2 linked regions of the Oryctolagus cuniculus genome follow. The protein of the gene in region 1 purifies or fractionates together with the protein of each later gene. This does not show direct contact. Links are inferred from orthologs where the notes say so. Each region holds a gene or a part of one and is shown on either strand. Other genes may lie near its edges.

What was found.
Region 2: the proteins of NAP1L1 (region 1) and NAP1L5 purify together in Homo sapiens (affinity purification with mass spectrometry; 3 studies listed by BioGRID and IntAct, counting the BioPlex papers as one, with this or other methods). This does not show direct contact. The link is inferred for Oryctolagus cuniculus from reciprocal best matches to the Homo sapiens genes NAP1L1 and NAP1L5.

Annotation. Positions count from the first base shown.
Region 1 is NC_091442.1:78,589,717-78,593,628, reverse strand, and holds the start of NAP1L1 (nucleosome assembly protein 1-like 1), read left to right. Parts: upstream 1-1,134; 5' UTR 1,135-1,640; intron 1,641-2,263; exon of another isoform or gene 2,264-2,386; intron 2,387-3,912. UniProt on the Homo sapiens protein: Histone chaperone that plays a role in the nuclear import of H2A-H2B and nucleosome assembly.
Region 2 is NC_091439.1:76,946,408-76,950,319, forward strand, and holds NAP1L5 (nucleosome assembly protein 1-like 5), read left to right. Parts: upstream 1-1,500; 5' UTR 1,501-1,554; coding exon 1,555-2,112; 3' UTR 2,113-3,317; downstream 3,318-3,912.

The sequences.
Region 1 (3,912 bases):
TAAAGCAATCAAATATTAAAACAACCTGCTTGAGGGAACACTGCCAGCTTCCCTTTCAGGCATTTGGACAGTGACCCAGTTAACAGGGAGCTCTCTCTGTGTCTTTGTTGCCTCTTAATCAATCAATAAAAAAACAAGATTTATTTATTTATGTGAAAGAGTGACACAGAGATACCTTCCACCCATTGGTTCACTCCCCGAACGGCAGACACAGCTGGGAACCAGGGGCCAGGAACTCCATCATGGTGCTCTCCCATGTGGGTGGCAGGGGCCCAGGTACCTGCCTCATCTTCTGCTGCTTTTCCAGGCACCTTAGCAGGGAGCTGGGTTGGAAGTGAAGCAGCTGGGACTAGAACCTACATTGCAGATTGCAGCTCAGCTTGCTGTGCCACAGATCGGCCCAGAAATAACTTTTTATATGAACAATAACTACTTCCTCCTCCCCCCACCTCAAAATCCGAGTGGAGTGGCCCAGTTTTATGCTTGCAAATGTCTTTATGTCTGCTTCAACAACAGATGACTGGGTTCTCCTGTCTGCTCCTATCTTTCAGTCTGTTTCCCAGTCACATGTCTTGTAGCCTCTGGAAAACGCAAAGGCACACTTGTGGGAGAGTAAGAGCCCCAAAGGCAAACAATGTCTCAGTATTACAGTGCCAGTGGTTTCACTCTTCCCCTTGAAAGGCTCTGGGGACATTCAGCTCACACTTTGAGGATGACCATCCTAACAGTGAATTTTAGACAACCCAGCATCAATTGAAAAATTGCTGAGGTTTCACAAAGCCTGAGGATTTGCACAGGATTTGCTTTGTCAGAAAGACAAAAGCATTGAAAAGCATCCTGAGTACGCGTAAACATGCCTTTTTCACCAGTCAAAAGGACGAAAGCAGCAAAGAGGCACTGTTTGTCATGTAAAGGGACGGAGGCATAGTATATGGGGTCCCCTGAAGACAAATCTGCAGAAGATGCCGCCAAGGTGGGGGGGGGGGGTCACGAGGAAAGCACTGTTGTTCTCAGGCGGCGAGGGAAAATGGTTACCGGGGGCCTGGGAGTTGCAGGAATTGGGACAGGGATGTGGAAGCTAGAGATCTCGAGGTCCAGGGTGTGGCGAGTCCAGAACCGGGTGGCTCGGTCTCCATCCTCACTCACGACGCCGAGGGCGAGGCGCGCTGCGGAGGAGGCTCGTGGGTCAGCGCCCTTCCCAGTAACTGATGGGGTTGGGATTTCCCTTCCAGCGCAGCGGGGAGAAAAAGAGATGGCGGGGTGCGTGCGTAATCAAGGGAGGAAGACAGTAACTGGCGGGAACCGAAGAGCCCAACCGCGGCGCTGGTGCAGCGAGGGCAGGAAGAGATCACAGCGAGCTTACGGAGGTCGCCGGGGAAGAAGGACGGTTCTGTTACTTGGCAACCCGGCCTGGGCCCGCCTCTAGCCCGCGTTGCTAGGAGACGGCGAGGCCAGGGGGAGGGCGGCGGAGCGGGCCCTACGTGCTGACGCTAATTGTATATGAGCGCGAGCGGCGGGCTCTCGGGTCTTTTTTAGCGCCATCTGCTCGCGGCGCCGCCTCCCGCTCCTCCCGCCGCCGCTGCCGCCCTGAGTCACTGCCTGCGCAGCTCCGGTCGCCTGGCTCTCCCTACTAGCCGCCGGTAACGGATGGGGGCCTGGAAGGGCAGGGGGAATGAGGAGCCGGGCCGGGCGGCCTGCGCGGAGGGAAGGGACACAGGGACGTAGGGACGGGGAACCGCGGGCGGAGGCCGCTGGCTGCTTGGGGCCCCTCCGGGTCGCGCTGTGAGGCCGGAGCCGCTCGCGGAGTCTCGACCGCGTAACCTGAGAGGGACCCTGGGACCGGCCTGGGGGCGGCCGAGGGGACGCGGGGGTCGGCGCGGCCTGTGTGTGTGGGGGGGTGGTGAGGTTCCTCGAGCCCTACCGGCTTCTCCGCGCGGAGGGGGAAGAGAGGCCGCGGCGCGCCCGGGTGTCCCGAGGGCTCGCAGGCCACGCCGCGAGGGACGGGAGGCGCCCGGAATGCGGGTCGGGCCCGCGCGGCAGTGTCCGCGCCACCGCCTCGCCGCCCCTGCTTCCCCCTCACAACTACTGCCCGGCGGGAGGCCGCTGGGGGGGGGGGATGGAAAGAGCGGCGGAGGCTGCGAATTCCGACGGGAGGGAGGGGCTGCGCAGGGCCGAGTCCCCGAGGCGGGGAGGGGGCGGGGGCGGCCTCGAGGCTCCGGGGTTCTCCGCCCACTGGAGGCGGCGGCCGCGCTGGGAGGGGAAGCCCCCGCGGCTCCGCTCGACACGTGGTGATGGGCTGCGTGGCCGCCTCCTGGGCCCGGCGGGAGACCCTCGTCCTTGCCTAACCTTACTCAAGTTGTGGAGGGGTGGGATGTGCCAAGCCACAGTGAGTGAATAAGCTGGCCCGGGGCATCCCTCCCTCCCCTTGGTTTTTTTTTTTTTTTTTTTGCTCATAATCTTTTTATTGGTACGGGAGGAAAGTGTGAATGTTAGTCGGAGGCTGGTGGGGCAGGTCCCCACCGCTGGGTTTTCGAGTAAGTCCCGCTTATAAAGCGCTCACGTGAGCTGTTAGAACAAAAGATTGGTTTACGTATCCCAGGTACAGTTGGCGTTTAGATGAGTGTCTTGTGCAGGGCTTTCTTTAGGGAAGGTTGGTCCTCAGCGGTTCTGAGATGCAAAGAAAGGGCCTGTAATGTAGCAAACTGGCTCCTTGATTGAAGTTTCTCAAACAAGATGCTTGACGATCTGGTTTCTTTTTAAGATGGAGGGGTGTGGGGTGGAATGAGGTGTTAATGAGTGAGCCTAGTTGTACGCTGCCGCCTTGTCAGTGTGCCCCACTCCCTTAAACATCTTGGGATTGCAGTAGAGGGCGGTGGCACTGAGGTCCTTTCTCATAGAGCTAGGCTTTCGGAGTATTAGGAAAGATGCCCAGAGCCCCTCTGTGAGACTACCCCTGGTCTAATCAGTTCTGAACACAGCTATCCTTTATATTCTCAACTTAAACTGCTTACCCGGTTTCAGGAGAGCTGCAGGATTTTGTCATCTTTGAAAAAGAGATAGCATCAAAACATCTTTTGAAGCCAGTATTGAGTCCTATTTTCTTGTCAATTTAAATAATACATAGTACCTTTGATTGGACAAGGGAAAAGCTAGTGTATAGAATAAAGTGGAGAGAGGTTAAATGAGGTTTTCGGTGATTGTTAGGGACTCATGTGACTAAAGCATGTTTGAAGTTACCTAAATTCAAGTAATTGGCCTAAATCTAAACTATAGTTCTGAGAATATTGGTCCTTTGGAGGAAAGATGGAACTAATCAGTAGGTAGACTTGGATATCTGAGGTTATCAAACCTTGACTTAATAGATGCTCTTTTCAAGCCAACATTGTTTTTAAATTTCTATTTATTAAATTGACAGTTTCACCATACTAATTTGAAAATTTTGTGAATTTTATCTGTTGAATGGTACCTTCTTTTTATATTAGGCTCATTAATTGGCAAGCTAATAGTAAAATGGCACATAACTGCTTTTCCTTTCATGATGACCCCCCCCAAATCTTAATTGAATCAAAATGCTTTCACTTGTTTTTCTACTTGCCCATATGAGCTTCAGGCTTTTATTCTAAACTCCCTAAAATATATTCAGAACAACGTTTTTACAGGAGCAGGGGCTAAAAGAGGCAAGAGTTCTATTGGACTTCAAGGTCTGAAGATGTTGAAATAGAATGTTTTATTTTTTGCTTGGTTGGATATTTGAAGTATAGTGAAAGAATGAATCCTCATTCTAATGCGGAAATACTAATGATGGATTACTTCAGATCTTCAGTTGTAATCAAAACTGTAATTACTTTAGTTCTAAGTTTTAAGTATTTTAGCACCTGTTTGGCGATGTATCTGAATTGAGCAAAACAGGCA
Region 2 (3,912 bases), on another chromosome or scaffold:
TGTAAGTGAAACACTCATGTAGCTTGCTGCTACATGTCAACACCAAGTTATTTACACACTAATATTCACAAGAATGATACACAGCACCAACTGTATGTTGCAAAGTTATTTGCAAAGATTCACACGTGTAAAGCTGCAGCAAATCCCAATACAGGAGGAAGTATTCCTCAGATCCCTGGAAAGTCCATTTGCTGCCATACCTAACACATGTGCTGGAATTCTTCATTCCGTAGCCAGGCATTTGGTGCAATGGTTAATGGCTACATCCTGTACCCCAGTGCCTGGAATAGAGTCCACTTTGGTTTCTGACCCAGGTTCCCACTGTTGTGTATCCTGGGAGGCAGCAATGATGGCTCAAGAACTTACTTGGGATCCTGCCACCCACGTGGGAGACCAAGACAGAGTTTCAGGCTCCTGGCTTTGGCCTGGCCCTGTCCTGGCTCTTGTAGGCACTTGGGGTGTACACCAACATACAAATCTCTACAAATAAATAAAAATGAATTCTTATTCAAGAAGCCCTGACACTGACTTAATAAACAAGATAAGTTCTGCTACTACAGAACTATTCCCTGTTTACATGATTTCAGAGCCAAGTTACAAGCAAGACACATGGAGCAGTCACAGAACTGCAGTGTTCCTCCAGGACAATGGCTGTGTGTACAGACACATGCCTGTGTGTCCCTAAGACACTAAACACGAGCTTCAACTGACCTTGTCCTAAGACCCATGCTACAGACCTCCCCAAGGGCTAAACACCTTCTAGAATGTACACCAGGACTCAGAACTCTGAGATTTCCTACTCAGATGGCTCCAAAACTGCTTGCAGGGCCGGTCCCACCAAGAGACACTTGGTGTCACTAGGACATTTGCCTCTAGGTCTGAGATGGCCAACGGAGGCAGTCAGGTAGACTAATGGGCACGACGAGGCTTGGAAATGCACACTGCCTAGTATACACTCTTGCACACCAGATTCCCAAAGGGTCAGAAAGGAGCCAGGTTTCCCGCGTCTCCACTCTCTGGAAATGAATGTGGAGGAATCAGAGAGGGGAGAAAGGCGGAGTCCACAGGTAGAAATGACCTATCACCCAGGCAAGGCTTACTACAGCGAGATGTGAAAAACAGCCAATAAAAGACACAGCGTGCTGGGGGCTTCAAAAAGTTCATGGAAAAGTGCCCATTTGAAATTCCATTTTCCAGGAAATTTGTGAAGCTCACGTGTGCCCAAGGTTTTGATGAGAGTGGGAATGCACGGAAACTAGGGGTTAACCGGCCAGGTGTCCAGCAGTGGGACAAGTGCCGCGGGCACCCACAGGGTGCCCCACTCCGCAGGGGCGGATGGTGGGGTTGGCTGAGGGAGGTGCAGGCGAGGGTGGCGGCAATGCGGGCGGACAGGCGGGCGGTCAGCGCGATCTACCCCAGTAGGAGCTCACGGATGTTACCTGACAGCCCGCAGCCAGTCAGGTGTGTGCCTGCGTGGGGGGAGGGGGGGGAGGGGCGGGGCCGCGGCTGACTTAACCCAGCGCGGGCTTCTTCACCGCCACCTCTGCCAAGCAGATGGGTTGCGCGGCCACTGTGGGAGCCAGCATAGACCTCTGCGGCAACACTTTGAACATGGCCGACCACAGCCCTGCGGAGCCGAGCCTGGCGGCAGCAGCGAACAAAATAATGTCCGAAGGTGATGGCGCCGACCCCGACGGTGCGCCCGGCGATTCTGACAGCACTGCTGCTCAGGAGACCCAAACCCCTGTGGAGAACACGCCAAAGCCAAAGAGCGACTTTATGGAGAGCCTGCCAAACTCCGTGAAATGCCGGGTGCTGGCCCTTAAAAAGCTACAGGAACAGTGCAGTAAGATAGAAGCTAAGTACCAGAAGGAATTTCATGCACTGGAAAGGAAGTATAGCGAGATCTGTAAGCCCCTCCTCGCCAAGGTCCAAGAGCTCAGGAGCGAGGTGAAGAGCTGTGCCTGGACCCTGGAAGGGGAGGAGGAGGACGAGGAGGAGTACGAAGATGCGGAGGAGGGTGAGCAGGAGGAGGTGGAGGTGGAGGGGGCGGCGGCGGCCGCACGCGACTCCCACCCCCACGCCGAGGTGCCTGAGGACGCCGAGAAGTAAGGGGACGGCGGTGCCGAGACGCGGAGAGCCGGCGACAGACCAACCCCATTCGTGTTATTATGATGACTTTTAATACTGTATTGGTGGACTTTTAAAAAGGCTCAGTTTTTTGGACCAAAATACAATGTGAATTTATCCTCACATTTCTAAAATAGATTCAAAAGGCAGCAATCAGATCCTGGCCAGCCCGTTTCCAATCCGACTCCAATTGGGACCACAGTAAATATCTCGCAAGGTATCCAAGAAAGCCGACTTCAGCTTCCGTCGATTTTGCTTGGCTTGGCTTCTCTCCGCTGCGAGGGTCGCGGCTGAGGCAGGAGAGGCGTCTGGAGCTGGAAGCGGCTCCTCAGCGCGGGCTTTGTACCGCGCGCACTGCACAGCACCCAGCCCAGCCGGAGCCCCGACTCAGCGCTTCATCCTTGCATTTCTGGTCCCGACACTGCCCAGTGCTGAAGGCAGAGCCCAGAAAACACCACCTTCGAGCCCTGGTTTCCGTAAGCCAGACCTCAGCAGCTTTGCACTGCAGGGGAGAGTGAGGCGGCGGTGGGATCCTGACCACGTCTTGAGTTCTGAATACTGAGAGAGGTGTGTTCCCAGAAGGGAGAGTGTCCAACCTGTATAATGTCGTTGACATTTGTTCTCCTCAGTTCCGACATGTTGATGTCTTTTCTGGGTAGTGTCTTGTTTATGAAGATTTAAAGATACCCCCCGACGTTTAAGTATTTGAATCACGTCCCCTAGTATTTCAGAAGTGTTAATTTACTCGAAGAGATGTAGAACGTAGCATATCCTGTAAAGCATGTGTATCCATCCAGTGTTACATAGTTTGATCTTTGTGAAGGCTTTCTGTCAAGTAGCTTTTAGAACTCCTCAATGAAGCTAACGTTTGGAAAAAATATATACTTGAAGAACCAATCTAAATGTGTGCCCTTACCCCAGCTCAGAATTATAAAGGGTTTAAGTTTGCTTGTATTAGCTGTGCCTTCATTATTTTGCTATGTAAATGTGAAATATTGAATATAAAATGGTGCATAATTGAATTTTACTGCTTGAGGATAGACTGGCATACAGGAAGGACTTTTAGGAAGAAGGCATTTCACATAAAGACTTAGCTTCTTTGTGGGTTTTGAATTATGTGTGAGCAAGAGATCTATAAAGAAACAAAGTTGTTTACCACTGTGGTATTAATAAAACAGTATTTTCAAAAAAAATTGTATTCTGACTACCTTTTCCTCATCTATGAAAGTAAGACTCTTTCCCTCAGAGGCAAGAACGAAGAACAAATAACTTACTACACATAAAACCCACCGAACAATGTCTGACACATAATGCTGAGTAATTTTTAGCTATTATTATTTCTACAGAAAAGATAGATACCAACTGGAAATCCAGTCCTCCTCCTCCTCACCCATTACAAAAGGGGAGAAAATGATCATTATATGCCTACATGTATGGTTCCTTATCAGAGGAGAACATGCCCCTTACTTCTGAAATAGGAAATTCAATAAACTATAAACTATTCTGTTTTGGTTTCCTCAATGTATAATCAGATTTTGATTTCCTTCCAGAAAGAGTAAGACTTTAATGTGATATTATGTATATATAAAAAGGCTATTTCAAGTTTCTATTTAGATATTCTAGATGAAGCAAAAATAATTTAAAAAACTAGACTACAAAAAAAAAATCAGATGCCATTTTCTGTTTCCTTGAAAGGTTAAAATTACACAGAAGAAAAATCAGAATGTTCTTTCCCTGGGGCACAGATGGCAGTGCTAACCTGTTGCTAATGACAACAGTGAG